Linked DNA regions of Stegostoma tigrinum. The protein of the gene in region 2 interacts with the protein of the main gene of each other region in a biochemical or structural test. Links are inferred from orthologs where the notes say so. Each region holds a gene or a part of one and is shown on either strand. Other genes may lie near its edges.

Region 1 (7,338 bases), on a different chromosome or scaffold from region 2:
TTAAGTTCTCCGTCGTTTCACAATATCCACACAAGTCTCATTAACCACAACTTCCTGCCTTTACTGCACGCGATCTATACTTTTTGGCGGGACCTTCCCGTTTGCACGGCGAAATGTGTTGTTCATGGACTTCCAAGCTATCAAAGGAATCGCTTTAGCAAAACTCTGATGGATATCCAAGTAATATTAAGAATCCAGAATCTTCATGGATTGATCTCCAACAGAACAGCTTCTGGAATTGCCCCTTTAAAACTTGTAGAAAATATGGTTTTGCTCATATGGCACTAATGGTACTTTATTTTCTCTTAAATGTCTATTTTCTTGCATTACTTAATCATGTTCGTTTTTGCAGATGCATATAAAACCATCCTTCGTAATGTATGAGCTTAGTTCTCAAACCTTCAATCAGATCTTTAAATCAATTTTTACACAGAAATTAGTTTTTATTACCAAAAACACTGCAACAACTTTTTTTAAACTGAACTGTTCTTTCGGAAGCATATCTCCTACAACGACTTAAGCAATGCAATCCGATATTCCTTGGCACAGGTCTTTTTTTCTGCTTACTAAACTGTCTGTAATTGCCCAGGTAATATGTACAGTATTACAATAGGAACAAAAAAATCCAAAAGCGCGAGGGATTGAATAGGTACATTGACGATTTTGCTGTTTGACTTTCAATGTGCCGAGTATGCCTCATCGGCTTTTTAAAATTCGCAACAATTGATGCAAATGAACTGTTGAGCGTTTCCTTTTCAATTCAGTCAAGAGGTAGCCAAGGTTCACGGCCGTAACCTTTACCCACGCACAAAGAACAATCAATGCACTGTCTGCTATCTTCTCTTTGGAAATCAGAATGAAATGGGGTGGGATGGGTGCTGTTAGAGGAGAAAAATATAAAAATACAAACTTGTTTCATTTTTGGATGAACTATGGAATGAAATCCGAATTGATAGGTAAATAACGCACTTTGAGGTAGGAAAGTTTGTGATCTTTCCCGGCTTTTGAAGCGCAACATTATGGTAGCGTAGCTTCTTGAACAGTTTAGTTTTATAATTTGGAATAGATTGTCTGGACAGATTCAGTTTTTATTCTTAAATCGCGTCTATGTTTCCAATTGAAACGTTAGCAAACCTAAGTACAGCTATGATCATGTTGAAATCTAGTTTGAGTATAGAACGGATTAAACAGCTTCCCCAGTTTGCCTTTCGGCATTAAATCTCCTCAAGATCTGCTAAATTGATGTGGATTGGATAAAACACTGCCCTACACAGGCCATGCCTTGGCAGTTGTTCACAGAGTCAGCTCTCTCCATACAAATGCACATCTCACAAAACCACTCCCACATATTAGTGAGCAACGAAGCACACACCCTTGTCTGAAACTATCACATTGAACAGCCCAGTCAACTTAATGCTTCAACTTAGCACGTCATTATTTATAATGGGAAACGATTAAAATACATACACCTTCAAGTATTTAATGTATCATACATGATTTTAAAACCTCTCCGCCAAGTGAAGGGAAAGTACGTTGAGAAAGAGGTTCAAACACATAATTTCCACAAATTTAAAGAGAAACAAACTTCCAGAAACTGTTTATAGTACCATTACACCGGCATATACAGTATCGATACCTATGAAACCGAGAATTAATGATTTAACCTTTATTAAAGAATTGAGTTTATTGCGTTCAGTTCTGAGTCATGTTTGTAGTGCCTATTATTGACATTGAGAAACAAGTTAAAATATTAACCTTAATGTATTAAAAGCTCTGTACCGTAAACAGTTAACTTATAATCTATAAAAAAACTATGCGTCTTAAGTTCTAAAAACGCTCACCCTCGGTGCTTTTCTTTTGTATTTGTTGCTGTAGTCAAATCTTTCTTTCATTTCATCCAGTAATTGTTCCAATCGTGCCTTCTCCTCTTTTGCCGTGTAATCCTGACTCAAAAGGACATAGGCTCTCCAGTTGGCCGAATCGAAACCCCAATGGCAGGTTCTGTTTTCCAATGATTTGTGCGAGTGTACTACGAATTTGTGAGGAGGATACATCAGCCTACAGTCCATGCATTGGATACATGCAGCATGAGGATTACCGTACAATTCAGGCACAAAGAGTCCCTTGCACTTTCCAAAACACTCATGGTATACTTTGAAGCTTTTCTCTGTGATCTCTAACTCAATGGTGCTTGAGTATTCTTTTTTGCAATGGGGTGGGTAAGTTCCTCCATAGAGTAAGGCATTGCAAAGCCTCTCTGCGTCTGTCTTAGTAATTAAGCCACAAGATGGGGCAGAGAAGGGCAAGATCCCCATGACTTTCAAAATCTCCAGCTGGTCTGCCGTGCATCGAGAGCAGTAAATATGTAATTCATCGCATACCGAATTGATCTGTTGAAGGGAAAAATCTCTAAGGACGGAGTTCAGAATTTGAGGCAAGCAAAGCCTCTTCTCCCCACCAACCACGAAACAAGAAATGGTTTCCCCCTCCAGAATAGTCTCACATCTCTCCGTTGATCGGTCCGATGGGATGAAAAGGGGTCCTGGCATGACAGGAGGGGGCTGTATGGGTAGGTGAATAATCTGATCTGTTTCCTTCCCAGTTTCCTTTTTGTACATCATCTCGTGAGCCCATCGAGCAGAGAAAGCTGCGGGTCCTCCAAGCGAACTCATACTGCTGAGATGAAACTGCTTTAAGGTTTGTTGGAGTCCTGGGTGAGGCTGAAAACTAGATCTTGGTACAGTCTCCATGATTTTTGGCCCTAAAAAGCACACCCGTTTTGTATAAAATCAACTGAATCCTTTAAAAAGCCACGGCGTCCAAGTTTATCCCACCACCGCGTACAATATTAAAGTAGCTCATGAAATCCAGTCTCTAAGCGTGTTGTGTTTCTGCAGCACTCTTACGTTCAAACATATCCACAATCGTGCCCTTAAAAAGATCTTCAAGCAAATGCTGGTTAAACCAGTCCTTCGAAATCCAGTCCCCAATTGGTTTTAGACTGTACTTTGTTTCTTTTTTCTTCTTTTCAATCCTCTTTTACGATCTACAAGCGTAAAGACGCGGCACATCCACACAATACGACCTTGCAGCTCAGACTGTCTTCTCCCCTCTGTTTGTCGGCGTCTAGGTCAGGCATTGAATCTCAGCCAAGAATGCGTCTGACTCCCCCAGGGCTCTTCCAGGAACCAGCACACTGCCCACCGATTTCAACAGCAGGCTACAAACATGCAACAATTGGTTTCACAAACCAATAGCTTTTCAAACTGCCACGCGGAAGGGAGAGATTTTTTTCCAAAGTTCACTAGAAACCATTAATAACCGGGATTGGTCGCTGGCAGCTTCTTCTACAAAACACGTTCTGTGGTTTACAGATCGTCAGTTTGATCTAGTATAACGTAAGCGGGAGGGGTTTTTTGTCGTAAGCTGGACAATTCTACAATAAGTATTACTGTAACCTTGCGTTAATGAATAATTTTAAGAAATGCAATACACAGAACTCCATTTGTTTTGTTTTTAACATTATAAACTTTTGTTCTTTTTACATTATAAACCTTGCATGTACCAACTGTCTTGGTAAACTTTTGGTTTAGTGATATTTAATAGCAATCTGAGTTCCAAGTCAGATAAAAATTTTTTCTGAGGAAGGGTCCAGACCCGAAACATCAGCTTTCCTGCTCCTCTGATGCTGCCTGGCCTGCTGTGTTCATCCAGCTCTACACCTTGTTATCTCAGATAAATGTGGGTTCAACTTTCCAGAATTTCAACACAAAAGCTCGACACGCTTCTTCAATGCTGAAGCTTGATGTGCTGTCATAGGTGCTGACTTTTGGATGAGATGCTGGAATGAGCCCCCACCTGTCCTTTCAGTGGTGGTAAAAGATCGCTTTGCATTATATGAAAAGCAGGAAACTTATTCCTGGCCCATATTATGTCTCAATTAACATCACATTTGATGAAGAATCGCCAGATTTGAAGTGTTAATTCTGCTGTCATCCTACAGATGCTGCCAGACCTGCTGAGTTTCTCCAGCAATTTCTGTTTTTGGCACAAAATGTATTATTCTGGTCATTATCATTCAAAATACAGGTAGTTCATTGGCTGTAAAAGACTTTAACTTATCTGGTATTGTGAAGGTGCTATATAAATGTAAATCTTCTCATCTAACAGTTGTGTAATGTTGGGACAAACTCCAATTGAGTGTTGTCATTAAGATAACAAGGTGTAGAGCTGGATGAACACAGCAGGCCAAGCAGCATCAGAGGAGCAGGAATGTTGACGTTTTGGGCCGAGACCCTTCTTACTATCTCTTGAGTATTGTCATTTATCACTTCCCAGAATTATACTAGACAAATGACAGTGCCACAGTCAATGTATAATGTACACATGTTGTATAGGTGTAGTGAAATTTAACTCTAATGTAATTAAAGTTTGAATAAATTGCTGCAATTTGCCATCTTTGAATATATTTTCTTAATTATAGTGACTGTACCAATCTTTATGTTATCAGGCAATAATGCAGGAAGCGATAGGTGCAATTTTCAGTCTTTGCTGAATTAGTGAAATTCATCCAGCACAGTAAAATCCTCATTCCACAATCAACCAAAGCCTTACTCCTTAATTCCTTTTCGGTCATCTGGGTGTCTAATACAAGCAGAATCCAATCACAGTACTTCAGGATCAGAAGTCAATGAAAAATCAACAAGATACTGCTCTCTGTTTACTCAATTTAGAGTACGCACTCTTACTTGAATAGATATGCCTGACTTAGCCAAGACCAGAAAGTTTAGATCATTATGACAAGTGCTTAGAAATTTCCATCTGTGAACAGCATATTAGAATTCAACTAGCTAAATAATAACTTGAGAAATAGCATTAGATCTAGGTCATTCAGACTTTTGAGCCTGCTTCACTGCTTAATAAGATCATGGCCGATTTAATCTGCCCTTAACTCCACTCACTTGGCTGACTCCCATAACCTTTAACTCCCTTGTCTGTCCAAAATCTGTCTAACTCAATTTTGAACATTATTAAATTAGCCAGCTTTATCAGTTAACGGAGAAAAAAATTCCATAAACAAAACCCCATTCTCTGAGAGAAAAGAATCACATCCCTGTCTTAAGTGGGATGCCTCTTATAATTAAACTGTGTTTTGGACATGCTCAAGAGCATCAAGTTCCGAGAAGTGATGATCATCAACATCTGACCTTGTCCACCCATGTTGATACAACCGTCAAGAAAGCACAAAAACGCCTCAACTTCCTCAGGAGGCTCAGGAAATTCAGCATGTCTGTAAAAACTCTTATCAGTTTTTATAGATGCACCATAGAAAGCATTCTAACCAGATGAATCATGGCTTGGTATATGGCAACTTCTCCGCCTAGGACTCCAAGAAACTACAGAGAGTTGTGAACACAGCCCAGTCCATCATGCAAGCAAACCTTCCATTTATTGACTCCACCCATACCTCTCACTGCCTCGGAAAGACAGCCAACATAATCAAGGACCTCCCACCCCGGTTATAATCTCTTCCAACCTCTTCCATCAGGCAGAAGATACAAAAGCTTAAACATGTACCACAAGATTCAAGAACAACTTCTTCCTCACTGTTATTAGACTGCACTCAAAACAAAACTTTTCACTGTATCTAGGTACATGTGACAATAATAAATCAAGTTAAATCAAATCCTCATTCTAGCTTCCACCAGTGGAGGAAGCATTCTCCCAGAATCCACCCTGATAAACTGTCTCAGAATCTTATGTTTTTTGATAAAATCTATTCTCATTCTCCTAATTGCCATGGGAATTAACATAACTTGGTAGACTTGCTCTTTTAAAACAAATCCTTCATCCTAGGAATTAGTCAACTGAACCACCTCTAAACAGATTTCAATGCAAATGTGTCCCTTCTTAACTCAGGTGACCAGAACTGTACACAGTATTCTAAATGTGTCCCCATCAATGACTTCAGCAGTTGTATCAAGACATCCCTACATTTGTACACCAGCCTCCTTGCATTAAATGCCAGCATTTGTTTACCTTCCCAATTACTTACCATACCTGCATGCTGATGTTTTTGTGATTCATGTGCAAGGAGACCCAGCTCCCTGTGCTTTGCAGAATCCTGTTGCCTCTCTCCAAGTAGACTTTGAGATGAGCATGCAGCACTCCTGTCGTAGTTAGGTAGCTCCAACAATTGTAGGTCACCATATATATTTTTAATCAAAAATTGGAAAGAGCTTATCATGCATGCTAGTCCCAGTTGCACCAGGCATTGAATGCTATAATCAGTTATTCTTGAGGGGATCACTGCAAGATGTGACTGAAGTTGCAAGTTTCTTGTTTCTTAAAAAAAATTGTGGGTCCAGGAGGAGCAATACAACACCCTGCCTATCAAAACTCTTTCAAAATGCTATAATCTCTTCCCCTGCTCTTGGGACTTGTCATTCTGTTCAGTGCAGTAGCTGTTCCACTTTCCATCATTCAAATTGACAAGCTGCAGTATATTTTAAAGCATAATAAAGTTTCTTCTGCTCTGCACCCCAACCTCCACTTCTATAGAGTGCAACCTTTTCTCAATTACCCTTTTTGTACTTTCACGCTGTAGTTTCTCAGTGAAATTCCTGAATAGGAACAGTTTTGTTGATGTGTTCAATAAGGTATTCAACAAGGTTTCACATTGTAGAAGGATGAATCCACGTGGATTACAGGGAGATCTTGCCATTTGGATACAGAACTGGCTCAAATGTAGGAGACAAAGAATGGTGGTAGAAGGTTGCTTTTCAGACCGGAGGTCTATGACCAGCAGTGTGCCAGAAGGATCAGTGCTGTGTTCATGGCTTTTTGTCATTCATGTAAATAATTTGGATGTGAACGTAGGAGGTATGGTTAGGAAGTTTGCAGGTGACACCAAAATTAGTGGTGTAATGGAAAGCTAAGAAGTTTACCTCAAAGTACAATGGGCCTTGATCAGATAGGCTGATGAGCCGAGGAGTGGCAGTTGGAGTTTAATTTAGACAAATGCGAGGTGTTGCATTTTGGAAAGGCAAATCGGGGCAGGACTTATATACTGAATGGTGAGGTCCTGGAGATTGTTGCCGAGTAAGTATATTGAGCCTTTGTATAACGAAATTGTACAAGCATTTTTAAAAACATTTTAATTACTTTTTTAAAATCAATTTACTTTCTTCCACTGTCAGAAGCATTGACTCCCATTGGATACAGATTTAATTCCCTTATCACCTAATTAATTCATACTCTGAGTTTACACAGTCAGAATAAGTAGACTATTTAGTCATGGGAGCACACCATAAGCAAGTCAATTCTTATTCCTTGCTC
Region 2 (8,285 bases):
GGAGTTGCAAATTATAATACTACCATTTAGTAAGTTGTTTTATTTTAATTTGATTGATTGCACATCTTTTAAAACGGGGGCACATTGTCTTAACTTGATACTAGAACAGCCAATGGCACTGATGTCAACAATTAGGAAAGACATACAGGAGATTTATTACAGTGATACCAGGAAAAAACATTTCACTATGAAAAGATGACAAAAAGCACATTTATGTACCTTACAACAGAGATGAAGGAGAAAAAAATAGGAGGGACATTTAAAAAAAGGCTTCCAGGAGAACAAGTGAGAAAGCTATTTCCCAGTGACAGAAGGTCACATTTAAGGCAACCAAAGAGATTAAAAGGCAACAAGAGGAGAAAAAGTTGTTAAATTGACTCATTCTGTAACGCATTGCTTGAAAGTATGATGGAAGCTGACTTAAGTTTTCAAAAGAAATTGAATAAATACTTGAAATACAAAAGTATGCTGGAATTTATGGGGGGAGAAAAGACAAGAAACTAACTTTTGATAGCTTTCACAAATCATGTACAGATATGATGGGCCAAATGGCCTCATGATTCTAGAAACAGCAAAATATTCAATACACAGAAATAAAATTAAATTTACACTATTAGAGGTCTGATTCACATTTGCCAGTGAACTCCTATTGGCAGAACTAGCCAACTTTAAAATATTACTAGCTATACAACCATAAATAAATCCATCCCATTTCCACGTAGATCGAACTGGTGTAAAATTTATAGATCAATGCTAAAGATGAGCTTTGGACATTTGCACCAAACTGGAATACACACTCAAGATGCATATTAAATAATGCTGGAACTTGGTTCTTACCCAAACCTGTTGGACACAGTCAGCATTAAATAAATTACATGAATACATTAAAAAGGAAAGATAATTTAGGCTAATAAATCATTTGGGTTTTTCGCCACTTTTCCATAATGGGAAAACACAATGCTGGAAATGCATAAATAACTTCATCAGTATTCAAATATGTAAAAACAGGCCATTAACAGGGACATAACTTGTTTTTGTTTGAAGATCTCCAACATTATCCATTTGCATCAGATACTGAGGATTTTCAGTATCTTCTGCTAATGCTGTAATTATCCAATGATTCTGTTCAGCTTACAGTTCAAATTTTGAGTTGTTACAAATTAGAACAATTGAAGATTCTGTTCCAGGAAATAAAAACTCACGACATTCCAGGAGTCTACAATAAATTTCTACAAGAACACAGGCAGGTTTTTAAATGGAAATGCTCCACAACATGTGATGAATTAAAAAATGGAATGACTATTAACTAAAAAGGTCATTGTTTTTCCTCTCAGTTATTAACTAGGCTACCAGCCTAAATGACTCAGAACTAAACTGCAGAAAGGGACTGCAGTTATAATATATTCACTATGTCTTCTGTGCCCCTTATTTGGGCGAGAAAACGATAGCATGCCAAGATAAACACAATAGTTCCATCATTTTGGCTCAGATGAATAAACATTTCTTATTTCCGCTAGGGGATCAGATGTGAATTTCAGGAAAAAGAGCCCTTCTTTATTTTTGCCATGGCATTTAAGAAAGTGCATCCATTTTAAAAGGGAAAAAAGTTGAGCACAAAAAACAAATTCTGTAAAAATATTTTAATGGAATCTCAAAACATTTGTTTCAAGAAACTATCCACTAAAGAAATCAGATTAAAATCATCCTAATGACAGCTACTTACATCCTGCATGCGCTTCTCCGTATAAAATGGAAAAAAGTTAACCACATTCGTAACTATTGCTACCGAAGAGGCAAAAACAGTGGTATGGAAATACTGCCACCTCCAAGTACTACCATTCTAACAGACATAATCAAAATACTGAAGTTTCCTATCAAACACCTTCATGAAACCATCACTGTAAGGAGCACTTTCTCGAGGCAACACAGACTGATAAGAAATGCAACTTTAACAATATGCCAAAAAAGGAAAACCCTGATTTCCCCCTAACAATGTTTTATATAAAAAGTTCTAATATCAAATCCAAAGCATTAACCAGGGGCTTGAGTCTGTACTTGAGCAGAAAACACTAACCTTCAACAAACAGTAATAACAACTTATTTTTATGCTAACTGAAGATAAAAAAAGTTTCTGAAAAAAGGGTCCCGACCCAAAACGTCAAGCTTTCCTGCTCCTCTGATGCTGCTTGGCCTGCCGTGTTCATCCAGCTTCACACCATGTTATCACAAAAATTACAAATTTATCCAAACCAGTATGCTGTTCAATGGAATAAAACTGTCCCTTTTTATCATCAAGAAAATTATTATGGTTTTTGAACAAAGCTACATTAATGAAGTTACAACCTAAAATTACAAAGTTAATACACATTTCTAAAAATCTAAATACACATCAACCAAGTGTCAAGTATTACCAATGTTTATAATTAGCAGAAACTGGAACAAAATATTTCCCTCAGATTCCGAAAATAAAAAAAGTGAAACAATCGTGCATTTGGCCACAGGGCCTACGGATACACTCGTTGGTAAATAATCGAGTTGACTTTTAAAATAACAAAGATAAACTTGTCCCAAAAAAAGTGTATCATTAAAATGTAACAACTTAACCTGGCTGCACAGTTTAGGAAGAGAGGTTTGGCAGAAGCTAGGCGTTCCTTACCTGGGGATGGTCACGCACTTGGTGTTGCAGCTCTGGGTGGTGATGGCCTTCTCCAGCTCGTCCAGCTGGCCCGTCTTCTTCAGCTTCTTCACCAGGCTCTTGACGGCTTTCTCGCACCATTTGTCGTCCTGCCCGTTGTTCTGCTGCTGCTGTTGTTGCTGCTGCTGCTGCTGCGGCGGCGGCGGCGCCTGCGACGGAGACTGAGAAGACGGAGACTGCGACTCGCCGCCTTTCTTCCAGCCCAGCAAACGCTTGACGATGGGCGGCGTGAAGGGCAAGATCGACATGGTTCGAGCCAGGAATGGGGAGTGGGAATGGGGGGGCGGGGGCGTGGGGGTATAGGGCGACGGTGGGTGGGAGGGAGGGGGAAAAATGAGAAAGGTAAAGAAGAAGAGGAAAATAACAATAAAAGGGGCTAACTGAGGCTGGAAAAGGAGGGGAAGAAAACGGCAATCACGATTCAAAATTTCACACAATTGTGCCTCGCGTTGCTCGCTAACCGCCGCTTATCAACCGAGACGATTCGAGAGAAAATAAATCAAAATTGCCCTCAAAAAATGTCGTTAGCCTTCTGGGTAATTTATTATTAATTCTCACATCCTCCCCTGAGGAGATTTTATTTTATTTTTTCTCTCCCTCGCTCCCCGCTGGCCTCTTCGCTCCCTTTTTCTTTGATTGACGGAGAAAAACGATTAAACAGCCTCCCCCCGACCGCTCTCTCCACCTGGAAATCCCACCCCCAGCGCTCGCGCGTCCCCCACTCTCATTGGCCCGCCTGCCCCAGACGCCCCGCCATTCGGCCACATACCGCGCGCCTATTGGACAGAATCCCCCGTCAATCAATCCAACAGTGCGCGGGGAACGTCCGGTTAACAGGTTTGGTTGATGCCTCAGCAAAACTTTTTTCCTCCCTTTCTTTGGGGAAGGAGGGGGAAGGCAAAACGATCAAGGGGTGTGTTCCTCCACTTGAAATAGTTCCAGCGGTTACGTTCAAACTAATCACCTTTTTCGATGCGGAAAGGACTTGAATTGAAAGCTGGAAATCCATTTTTTTTGCTAATATAAATCCAAACGTTGTTAAATTGGCCTATCAGTTAAAGTTACCTATTATATGAGCTTATTATTCAAAATGCCCTTTGGGTGTATTCTTCCGCCGGCTCACTCCTATCTGCTGGATTTTCAATGCAAGGAAGAACAGTTTGAATTTTCTCATCAGCTTTCTACTTTGTGTTAGAATTGCTTAGTTATCATGTACACTAATTGGAGCATCTTCCAACTTGATATATTCTGGGATGGCTACTATTAGCGTGAAACACATGCAGTTTGAACATTTGGTTTTTGTATTGATATTGTTTAGTATCCAGGCTTCAGTGCTTTTGAAATCCTAGATATCAAAAGAGTTGAAAATTAAACAGACTGGTGGGCATTTTGCTTGCAGCCTTGAACCTATCTCCTCAGCACCACCGTCAAAAAAGTCCAACCTTAAAACTCCAATTATCTCATTGTTTTATGAATGGTAAAGGGCTGAAAACTATTTTAAGTATGTGGCAATAATTGTGTTTCAAAACTAGATTAACAAGCCATTTCTTGTCTTGATCTGATCTGAACCCCTACATCTGCCACCGTTATGTTACATATTTATGAATAATTTTGTATAAATCATGAGTCCCTACAGTGTGAAAACATCCCCTTCTGCCAACAAATCCACACTGACCCTCAACATCCCACCCAGACACATCCCCCTATAACACACCTAATCTATACATCCTTGAACATTATGGGCAATTTAGCACGGCCAATCCACCTAGCCTGCACATCTTCGGACTGTGGGAGGAAACCGGAGCACCCAGAGGACACCCACGCAGACACGGGGAGAATGTGCAAACTCCACACAGACAGTCGCTCAAGCTTGGGATCAAACCTGGGTCCCTGGTGCTATGAAGCGGCAGTGCTAACCACCAAGTCGCCCCTATGTATATGCAATATTTTTTCACATTTTCTATCACATGCAAATTAGGAACAGAGTAGACCATTTGGCCCCTCGAACCAATGCTCCACTGTTAAAGAAGATTCTAGCTGATCTGTTTGTTTGAATTCTACACTTCCCTCTAACCCAATAACTTTCATTCCCTTGCTTCCAACTTCAAATTGTTTGATGACCCAAACAATTATCTTCTGAGGCAGAATGTTCCCAACCCACGCACAAACTTAACAGTAAACAATTTACGCCCCAAAAGGCATTTCTTAATTTTCAAACAGTACCCGTTAATTCTGTGCTCAACCATAGGCTCGAAGCGTCAGCCTTCCTGCTTGTCTGATGTTGCTTGGTCTGCTGTGTTGATCCCACTCTGCATCTTGTTATCTCATATCCTCTTCATAGCCACCTTTAAGGATCTTGTAGACTTCAACAAAGACTTTCCTAAACTCCAGTAGAAACAAACCCAGACTGTACAACATTTCCTTAGAGGGCAACCTGTTCATACCTCAACTAAACACTTCCAATGCTTTACATCCTTGGGTAAAGAAACCATAGTTTTCCAGAAGTGGTCTCACCAATGCCCTAGTATTCTAGTTTTATGTTCAATTGCTTTTGTAATAAAGGATAGCAGTCTATTAGCCTTAATAATTGGGATATCTGCATCACCATCGGCAGTCCTTCGCAGATGAGAATGACACTTCCATTGTCAGGGTGAGTCCATAGGTGGCTGTACAAATCAATTTGACTATCATAGGCTCTGTTACATTTGGGGCAGGTAGTGCTCACGAGAAACTGGTGTGGCAGAACAGTCCTTGCGCTGTTTTCGCCTGCCTCCCAATTTTTCCCAATGGCAAGTCTCAATGCCTTCTTGATGCCTTCCTGGATGAACCTCCTTCACTTTGGACAGTCTTGGTCTCTGTGGGAATGCTGTACTTCATCAGTGAGGCGTGAGGGTAATACTGAGGCACTTCCTCAGTGCATGTGGTGCTTGCCTGCTGTTTGAAAGCTGGGAGTAGAGCACCTGCTTGGGGAGTCTCATTTTGGTCATGTGGATGACATATCCAACCCATTGTAACCAACCAAAGATAGTAAGTGCCTTGACACTGGGAATGTTGGCCTGGTCAATGAAGCTGGTGTTGCGTCTTTCTTCCCAGCAGATTCACAGGATCTTGCACAGGCCGCATCGGTGGTACTGCTCCAGTGCCTGGAAGTGCCTTGGTTTTTTTTTGAAAGTTGGAATAGTAGGGACGGCATGAAGGGGTGGAGTCAAGATCCTGCAGAACCAGGATTTTAGTTTAAGCTTTCAACAGTTGCTGGGTTTTTGAAGCTGGATGTGGAAGCTATTCTCTCCCTGTTACTGCAATAAGCTGGGGTTCTCTTCTTGCCTTGCTAGAATTGCATGCAAGACAATCTATTTTACTGAATTTGCCTTTGCCAAGGATATGTTTATTGAATGGTACTGTATTGGAACAGTCACTGTTTACAAGTTAAATAATCTATTATTCTATTAAGCTTTCCAATAGAGTTAAGCTCCAAAAAACAATGCAACAGCTTATAAAATAGTAATTACTGCTCCAAACGTGCAAGGAAACCAGTTCCAATCCTGAAAATACCTCAAAAAAAAGGAGCAGCTCTTACAACCATAATTTTTCCCCTTCTTCCATTTTGGATTGCCTAGGATCCTTTTTGGAGGGTTTGAGCTACAGGGAGAGGCTGAATAGGCTGGGGCTATTTTCCCAAGAGTGTCAGAGGCTCAGGTGTGACATTATAGAAGTTTATAAAATCATGAAGGACATAGATGGGGTGAATGGTCAAGGTCTTTTCCCCAGGATAGGGGAGTCTAAAATTAGAGGGCACAGTTTTAAGTGAGAGGAGAAAAAATTAAAAGGGACCTAAGGGGCTGTTTTTCCACACAGAGGGTGGTGATGTATGGAATGAACTGCCAGAGGTAGTGGTAGAAGCTTCTACAATTCCAACATTTAAAAGGCATTTGGATGGGTATATGAATAAGAAGGGTTCAAAGAAATTTGGGCCAAATGCTGGCAAATGGGTCTAGACTAATTTCGGAAATCTGGCCAGTGTTGACGAGTTGGACTGAAGGGTCTGTTTCCATGCTCAGCTGTTGTATGATTCTCTGACTCTAAGTTATTCCAATTTTTTTTTGTTTGCATTTTACTAAATGTAAAAATAAAGTGTGTTCTGCTTCAAGCTTGGTAGTTGACCAATTGATTTGTAGCCAGGACTCAACACCTTACACCTGCCTTTAAAAATAAGAAAAAGTTGAAGCCCAAACTATCTTAAATGTTTTTGAGGCGAGTTTGTCTGGACCATAAAATTAGCTGTAACTTCTTTAATGATAACACCTTGACCATGGCAGATATCAAGCTAACTTGTCAATGGTTTCCTGTTTTCTACCTCTCTTCCTTCTTGAATACATGGGTTATATTTGTTGCTCTCCATTCTGACAGAATCTTCCCAGAATCTAGGAAACTTTGGAGAATTAACACCAACACATTTTTTTTATTCACTTGTGAGACACGGGTGTCAATGACTGAGCCAGCATTTATTGCCTGTCCTTAGTTGCCCTTGAGAAGGTGGTGGTGAGCTGACATCTGGTGCACTGCAGCCCGTTCACTGTTGATAGACCCACAATGGCGTTAGGGAGAGAACTCTAGGGCTTTAACCTAGTGACATTTGAAGGAACTGTGATATATTTCCAAGTCAGAATGCTGAGTGGCTTGAAGGGGAACTTGTAAGTGGTGATGTTCCCATTACTTGCTGCTCTTCTCCTTCTAGAAATGGATGGTTCTGGGTTTTCGAAGGCACTATCTAAGGAGCTTTGGCGAATTACTACAATGTATTTGTAGATGGCACTCTGCTATATCTCACCATCATTGGTGGAATGACTGAATGTTTGTGGATGTGATGCCAGCCAAGTAGGTTGCTTTGTAGACAAACAGGAGGCTGGAAGAACACAGCAGGCCACGCAGCATCTGGCGGAAAGGAGCAGTCAACATTTTGGGTATTACCATTCTTCAGGTTGCTTTGTCCTGGATGGTGTCAAGCAGCTTGAGTATTGTTGGTGTTGCACTCATCCAGGAATCTGAGCAGTATTCCATCACACTCCTGACTTGTGCCTTGTAGATGGTGACAGACTTTGGGGAGTCAGGAGGTGAGTTCCTTGCCACAGTATTCCTAGCCTCTGTCCTGCTATTGTAGCCACTGTATTTATCTGGTATCTGCAGCTCAGTTTCTGGTCAATGGTAACCCCCAGGATGTTGATAGTGGATTATTCGGTGTTGGTGATGCCACTGAATGTCAAGGGACAATAGTTAGATTATCTCTTTTGGAGATGGTCACTGCCTGACAATTGTGTGTCTTTGGAACTCTTTGCCACTTTTCAGCCCAAGCCCAGATATTGTCCAGGTCTTTTTGCATTTGAATATAGACTGCTTCAGTACCTGAGGAGCCACATTTTTTAAAAAAATTGTGTGATGTGGGCATCACTGGCTGGCCAGTCTTTATTGGAACATAGAACAATACAGCGCAGAACAGGCCCTTTGGCCCTCGATGTTGCGCCGACCTGTGGACTAATCTAAGCCCCTCCCCCTACACTATCCCATCATCATTCATATGCTTATCCAAGGATGT
Region 3 (7,983 bases), on a different chromosome or scaffold from region 2:
GCCAAAAGGGCCTGTTGCCACATTGTAGGGATTCTATCTTAAAAAGTGGCTTCAGTTTTCACCAATGATTAACCAAGAAAAAATTCCCACATCTCCAAGGTTTGTCAGTCCAGCAACAAGGAAGCAACGGGGGTCAATACAAATGATGAAATCTAGGAGCTGGGTATCTTGCATGTGTATATTGGAACATGACCCCGACTCTTCGCACAAAGTTACCATAGTCAGGCAGTATAACAGCAAGTGATTGACAATACGTTCTTCAAAATGTTTGGCAAATATCTCTCAAACCAAATGACAAAATCTATGATTCAGTTTAATCAACATCATCTTTTACCATGCACCGATAATAAATTATGTTTATTGTACGACAAATGCCCAAGTATTACTGCTAAAAAACAAGATCATGAAATACAGTAACATTATAGATTGTTACGACTGCAAACAATTTGACCTAGGAGTTATCACAGTCCAAAATTCTTGTGTTATCTTTAAAAGCAACCCAAAGACTCCATATTTACTGTTTTGATTTACACAAGATGGCCTCCAATCTCCCGTTTGGCATTTATTTCCTTAAAACTAGAACTTCAGCTAACTTTGAAATTTAACGAAAGACAGATGATTTGCTTATTACAAAAAAAATTGGAGTCAAAATGTTAAGTACAATAAGAAACTTGTTCAACTGCAACCATCTACATAAATCTCATATTTCTTTGGCAGTAGCTTTGGTTCAGCAATAGCACACTCATCTTAGTTACAAGGTCAAGTCTTGTTACAGAGACTTAAGCACATAATCTTAGCTGAAAAAACAAGCTGGAAAATAGTGTTGCATCTTACTCAAATAAAAGCAGTAAACTAGAGCACATCTGGAGAAATACAATCTGTATTTTAACAGGGTGGAAGAGGTCTCCACACAACCTGGCCAACATTTAATGTTGAACCCAAAATCACCAAACTGGAAAAATGCTTTGGCAAGTGCTAAGGCAGTGAAAGACTCAAAGCAATTCAAATTGCTTATTCCCTTCCACGTGTGCATAATTCTCCTTTGAAATAGGTTATGGTACCATCTCATGAGCTATTTGAATTGAACAGTGCCATTTTATAAAATAAAATCTTGACTTTTTTATCTATTAAGAACATGGACATTAAGCAGCATGTTAAAAAATTCCATATACAAGTCAAATGAAGGCCAAAAACAAAAATAATTCTTAGAAAAACAACACCCAATAAAGTAAGAATTTTGAGATCGGAACTGAAATGCTGCAGAGATCTCTTCTAGTGGAGGGCAGAAGAGGGGTTGACATAGGCACAGTTGAATCGCAGATGTCATGGCATGGTTACAAACGAGCTACAGCAGACACACGAGAATGCAGCAGGGCAGATGAACGTGGCATGCCATGACAGCAGATCTCCTGGCAGAAGCAGCTATAAACAGGAGTACTGACAATCCCAAATTTTCTTCCTCATTACTACTGTCAAAATTTACAATGGTGAAAATTCCTTAATCTCTGTTCCAGTTAACTAATCCCAATTCAGCAAGCATTTTTCATAAACACATTTTCCCATCTCACCCTTTAAAAACTCAAATGTTAATCGCAACTAAATTGCAAACTTAATTTCTTAATCCTCTAACAAACTGACATAATTCGTTCACGGTACCAACTTAGCGCTCTCCCTCTTTACGAAACAGCCAGACCTGCTTTCCACACTAAATGCACGGCAGTCAGCAACTAGCAACTGCAGGACTACTGTCATACAAAGCTTATTGTTCCTTTCCAGTAAGGAATCACACAAAGTAACTTTTTTAAGAATCATTGTACACTCAGCAATCTAAAAGTTAAAGATGAATTTTGACACGGATCACTGAATTTCGAAACCTTCGGTTGAATTGTGTGTAGTCGTTTCTTCGTCCCTGTGCTCCAAAAAAGTAAGCATAAAAAGTATGCAGCGAACCTTCAGCATTACTCAATATCATTGCTACAATTTATAATATTTAAGAACAAAGTTGTTGGGAGACAGAAATATTCCCTAGACATCGTAGGGTAAAACTGGCTAAAACCAACGACTGATCTCATTTGTTTTGGATCCAAAAAGCGTCCTGCACTATTTTGTCTCTGTCGTCGTTTGCACTTTACAACAGAACCCGGAGGTTAATAATGAGAAAACTTTTTAGCATGATTCTGCGGCACATTTTGTTTTGACGGGAGACGATAAGGGCTGTATGACCTCTGCACCCACTGTTCGGAATTGCGAAAATCTTGTGGTTTTTGTCTATGAAGATTACGTGTTTTACGAAGGTGCGAAGCAGTTTTTACAAACAGATCAGGACACATCTTTTGCAGTTATGCTTTCTGTTAATGAAAGCCAAGTCAAATCTATTCCTAGTCAAAACGCAGTAGTGCCGTCAAGCCCAGGAGTTACACCCTGCAAAATAAACGAATGAGTCCCACCCTCCCCCACCTTCTGTGCCATGTACGATTGCTTTAATCCGCAGCATTTAAATCTAGGACTAATGACGAAATTCAAATATTTGCAGACTTGCTAGACAAGGCACAAACCAATCTCTCTCGCGCGCGCACACACACACACACACCTTCCCGAAAAAAAAATCGTGCTCAGAAAGCCAGGCGGTGGACTATTTCAACACTGTCTTCTTAGGCCTACCCGAAGCATGGGAGTAAGTGCTTCGGTAATATCCGCAAAGCACACGCTTGCCCTCGGCTGCCATCTCCTCAGCAGGCGCAATATCCAGCGAGCCGTCGGGGTCGCACGGAGGGCGGTCCAAATCCCTTTAAACAATTCACATCGCTCCCGGACTTTGTTTCCTTACCAGACGCGGGTTCATCGCTTCCAAGACGGGGTTGAAGAATGTCGCCGGCCACACCGTTGGTCGCTATTATCCACTCTGCATCTTAATAGGCAAGATCCGCAACGCTTCACCCTCTCCATCGACATCAACTCAACAGCCATCCATCACGCGCTTGACGTTTGGAAAATACCAGCGGCAGCCTTCCAACCGCCAATCCGACCGCGCCATCCAATCTGACCAATCACCAGTCACTCCCGCCCACCCTCCACAGACACGACCCCTCAACTGACCAATCCGTATCCTCAGAACATACGCCGCTTGAGCGAATCGCCAATCAGATAGTTAGGACTTGAACGACTATTTTCAATTGGTCTATATCTTACCTGCTTCTGCGAACAGCTCCTCAGATCCGTACTCCCGGAGCAGCGACTGGTTCTTTTCATGAGCACGTTACAGCGATGGCTTGTAAACTGTTTGGCGCATTTGTTGCTTCGTTTCCATTGAAGCAGCGGTCAAGAGTAAACACTGTCCAGATAATTTCATAAACAAAGACGGCCTAGATATTTAAAATCCGCATGGAATGAGGTCATTCGGCCCATATTCTCCATGCTGGCGCTTTGCCAGAAACAATTGAATTAGGTATGTCCCCCTACCTTTTTAACTTTTGCGCCGCACTTTGTTTCCCTTACTTATATAATGACCCAATTCTCTTTCAATGGCATGATCGAACCCATCCCCATCACACTCTCGGGCAGTGCATTTTAAAAGGTTTAACTCAAGTTTTGACATTGTTTCATTTGCTGGTTAGCTTTAATCTCGGGTTTTGGGCTCTTCCGCAATAGGAAATCTTTCGCTCTATCTACTCTGTCACACTCTTTCATCATTTTGAATATGCCCATCAAAATCTCATCTCAACATTCTCTTTGCCAGGACCCAATTTCCCCAGTCTAATCATGTAGCTGAACTTTTCGCTGCTTGGAATGATTCATGTTAACTTTGCTGTATGCTTAAAGTCTTCCAAAACTGTAGTGCTCACAACCGGACATAATACTGAAATGTGTACAAGTTTATCACAACTTGCTTGATGTTGTACTGTATATTTCTTTCAATAAAGCGGAGGAGCCTGCATGCTTTATTAGACATTCTTGCATGCTATTCTATCACATACAGTTATTAATTGCACATATGCTGAATGTCCTTCTGCTCCCGCATAGACAATGGCAACAAAGTTGGAAAAATAATGAAAACGAAAACATCAGAATCTTCACTTCGAGAAAACGTAATTTTCGCGTTGAACTTTGACGCTCTTAAAGAATCACACTTTTGCACAGCGACATCTTTCCCATGTATTTGCATCTCATTATTAAGCCAACTCACTTTGTTCCAAGCCTTCCTAAAAATCTAGATGGTACAAGTTCCAGACATGTCAATAATTACCATGATTACCATTCTCAGCAAACTTTCGTCCACAGAAGTCAGCATCGGCAAACCACAAGCCTGCACCATCGTGACGCTCTGGGTTGAAATCTCACACCTCTTCTATTCTTTAACGTTTGATTTTGGAGCGCAGGGGCAATATGATTTACATTCTTCTTCAAATAACTTTATATTCAGAGACACATGTATCTACATATAAGGCAACTTAGGACTCTTCGCTTGCTTTCTTGGTACTCCCTCCCTTTATGCTGCAGCTGTACAAAACTCTGGTGCGGCCGCACTTGGAGTATTGCGTACAGTTCTGGTCACCGCATAATAAGAAGGATGTGGAAGCTTTGGAAAGGGTGCAGAGGAGATTTACTGGGATGTTGCCTGGTATGGAGGGAACGTCTTACGAGGAAAGGCTGTGAGGGACTTGAGGCTGTTTTCATTAGGGAGAAGAAGGTTGAGAGGTGACTTAAGTGAAACATATAAAATAATCAGAGGGTTAGATAGGGTGGATAGGGAGAGCCTTTTTCCTAGGATGGTGACGGCGAGCACAAGGGGGCATAGCTTTAAATTGAGGGGTGAAAGATATAGGACAGATGTCAGAGGTGGTTTCTTTACTCAGAGAGTAGTGAGAGAATGGAACGCTTTGCCTGCAACAGCAGTAGATTCGCCAACTTTAGGTATATTTAAGTCGTCATTGGATAAGCATATGGACGTACATGGAATAGTGTAGGTTAGATGGGCTTGAGATCGGTATGACAGGTCGGCACAACATCGAGGGCCGAAGGGCCTGTACTGTGTTGTAATGTTCTAAGTTCTATGTTCCCTCGCTTTGCACGTAGAGGTTGCTTGCTTTTGCATTGCATTGCTTTTTATCACAGAAAGGCAGGCAGCTTGTCATGGTTCAGAGTACTGAACGGTTAAGCGGGTGGATATGCTGCTGTATGCCATCAGGCTACATCAACACCACACCAACAGCATGTGTCACCAGATTAAGCAGCAAACACGTGGCATGTGCTTTTAGGCTTGCCCTTTTGACATTTTAATCAAAATGCTTTTCTATGTAAAAGGTGTCTATTTTGGAAAATCAAAGAGGACCAGCTCTCTGTGGGGTGGAGGAAGCTATAGTCAGTCCAAAGGTTCAATAAGCAACATCCATTTCAAGTGCAGAGTGTTATCCATAGTCAGTTAGGCACTTAGCCATATCAGAAGATTAGTGTCCTTGCAGAGTGGGAATTGGGTCATGGTCATTAAACAATAAATCATTGGAGAAAAAATGTAATGTAATATTTGAGAGAGATTTTAATCTTCATACAAACTTGAACAATGACATTGCCAAATGGAAGAACTCATCTGGAAGTTGAGTTTGCAGAATGTCTTCCTTAAGCAACATATTGTGGAATAAATGAGCTAAAGCTGCTTCAGATCTAGCATTGTGCAATGAGAAAAGATTAATTTTGTAGTGCCTTAGCAAAAGATCCACTGGGAAGTAGTAATCCTAATACTTTTGAATTCCGCATTAAGTTTGAAAACAACATACTTAGAGCATTAACAATTCAAACATAAAGACAATTATGGTAATGCGATGGAATAAAAGCTTGAGATTGATTTTGTAAAGCAAAATATATGGTGGAAAATGAAAAATGGGAAATATTTAAATAAACAATTTTTACTGTTTTAAATTATTAAAATAAGATTAACATAGCAAAAAGGCAATCCTAACTGCTTTGCATGCACAAACCATTCAGAATAAGATAAATGGTGCAAATTGAGGAAATGGAAATGATCCACTTGCCATTCCAGAGGCATAGTTCCAATGAGATCAAATTCAGAACATCACATTCAAAGATATTTGACTTTTTGGAAAGGCAGGAGGGAAGAAAAAGATTGTAGGGTGCACAGTTCATAAGAGGAGTTAAGAGAAATGAGAACTGTTGTGAGAGATAATCTATACTCAGATGATGTAAAGTCCATTTGAGCGGAGTCAAATAACAACAGCTAAGCAAAACCTTGGTTCGGCCAGATCTGGAGTAATGTGTCCAATTCTGGTCGCCTCATTACAGGAAAGATGTGGAAGTGTTGAAAAAGGTGCAGAGGAGATTTACCAGGATGTTTCCTGGAATGGAGGGAAGGTCTTACAGGAATGCTTGACAGTGCTAGGGCTTTTCTCTTTAGAACAACAAAGGATGAGAGGTGACTTGATAGAGGTGTACAAAATGATCAGAGGTACAGTAGGTATAGATAGAGTGGACAGCAAGACACTTTTTCCGAGAGTGGAGGTAGCGATTACAAGGCGGCATAGTTATAAAAGTGAGTGGAAGTAGATACAGGAGAGACAGAGGCAGGTACTTTACTCAGAGAGGTAGGGACGTGGAACGCATTGTCGGAGAGGATAGTGGATTTGGCCTCATTAGGGGCATTTAAGCGGCTATTAGGCATATGGATGATCGGATAAGGTATGGGTGGAGGTTAGATAGACCTGAGGTTTAGGGTAAAAGTTTGGCACAACATCATGGGCCAAAGGGCCTGTACTGTGCTGATAGTTCTATGTTCTATGTTATAAGGGAAAGAAAACACTGCGACGAGTACTGTATGGACCCCCAAATAGTAGCCACACCATAGGAAAGTGTACAAAGCAACAAAAAATAGGAGTACATGAAAATAAGAGAACAATAATTATGGTGACTTTAATCTTCATGTTGATTAAGATAATCAAGGTGGAAAGGGTGGCTATGGCAACAAATTTATAGAGTGCATTACGAATAATTGACTCGAGCTATACACCATGGAGGAAAGCAGGGAACATTCTATCCTTGGTTAATGGGAACTGCAGATGCTGGAGAATCCAAGATAATAAAGTGTGAAGCTGGATGAACACAGCAGGCCCAGCAGCATCTCAGGAGCACAAGAGCTGATGTTTCAGGCCTTGACCCTTCATCAGAAAGGGGGATGGGGTGAGGGTTCTGGAATAAATAGGGAGAGAGGGGGAGGCGGACCGAAGATGGAGAGAAAAGAAGATAAGTGGAGAGTACAGGTGGGGAGGTAGGGTGGGAATAGGTCAGTCCAGGGAAGACGGACAGGTTAAGGAGGTGGGATGAGGTTAGTAGATAGGAGATGGAGGTGTGGCTTGGGGTGGGAGGAAGGGATGGGTGAGAGGAAGAACAGGTTAGGGAGGCAGAGACAGGCTGGGCTGGTTTTGGGGTGCAGTGGGGGGAGGGGAGATTTTGAAGCTGGTGAAGTCCACATTGATACCATTGGGCTGCAGGGTTCCCAAGCGGAATATGAGTTGCTGTTCCTGCAACCTTCAGGTGGCATCATTGTGGCACTGCAGGAGGCCCATGATGGACATGTCATCTAAAGAATAGGAGGGGGGAGTCGAAATGGTTCGCGACTGGGAGGTGCACTTGTTTATTGCGAACTGAGCGGAGGTGTTCTGCAAAGCGGTCCCCAAGCCTCCGCTTGGTTTCCCCAATGTAGAGGTAGCCACACCGGGTGCAATGGATGCAGTATACCACATTGGCAGATGTGCAGGTGAACCTCTGCTTAATATGGAAAGTCATGTTGGGGCCTGAGATAGGGGTGAGGGAGGAGGTGTGGCGGCAAGTGTAACACTTCCTGCGGTTGCAGGGGAAGGTGCCGGGTGTGGTGGGGTTGGAGGGGAGTGTGGAGCAAACAAGACAGTCACGGAGAGAGCGGTCTCTCCGGAAGGCAGACAAGGGTGGGGATGGAAAAATTTCTTGGGTGGTGGGGTC

The links.
Region 1: the proteins of smad2 (region 2) and skia form a complex in vitro, tested with the Homo sapiens proteins (4 studies listed by BioGRID). The link is inferred for Stegostoma tigrinum from reciprocal best matches to the Homo sapiens genes SMAD2 and SKI.
Region 3: the proteins of smad2 (region 2) and zinc finger FYVE domain-containing protein 9-like are reported together in a solved structure, tested with the Homo sapiens proteins (2 studies listed by BioGRID and IntAct, with this or other methods). The link is inferred for Stegostoma tigrinum from reciprocal best matches to the Homo sapiens genes SMAD2 and ZFYVE9.

Annotation. Positions count from the first base shown.
Region 1 is NC_081381.1:23,172,588-23,179,925, reverse strand, and holds the start of skia (v-ski avian sarcoma viral oncogene homolog a), read right to left. Parts: upstream 3,183-7,338; 5' UTR 2,751-3,182; coding exon 1,842-2,750; intron 1-1,841. UniProt on the Homo sapiens protein: May play a role in terminal differentiation of skeletal muscle cells but not in the determination of cells to the myogenic lineage. Functions as a repressor of TGF-beta signaling.
Region 2 is NC_081354.1:160,634,282-160,642,566, reverse strand, and holds the start of smad2 (mothers against decapentaplegic homolog 2), read right to left. Parts: upstream 3,374-8,285; 5' UTR 2,944-3,373; coding exon 2,657-2,943; intron 1-2,656. UniProt on the Homo sapiens protein: Receptor-regulated SMAD (R-SMAD) that is an intracellular signal transducer and transcriptional modulator activated by TGF-beta (transforming growth factor) and activin type 1 receptor kinases.
Region 3 is NC_081361.1:64,109,070-64,117,052, reverse strand, and holds the start of zinc finger FYVE domain-containing protein 9-like, read right to left. Parts: upstream 3,009-7,983; 5' UTR 2,828-3,008; intron 2,815-2,827; exon of another isoform or gene 2,591-2,814; intron 1-2,590. UniProt on the Homo sapiens protein: Early endosomal protein that functions to recruit SMAD2/SMAD3 to intracellular membranes and to the TGF-beta receptor.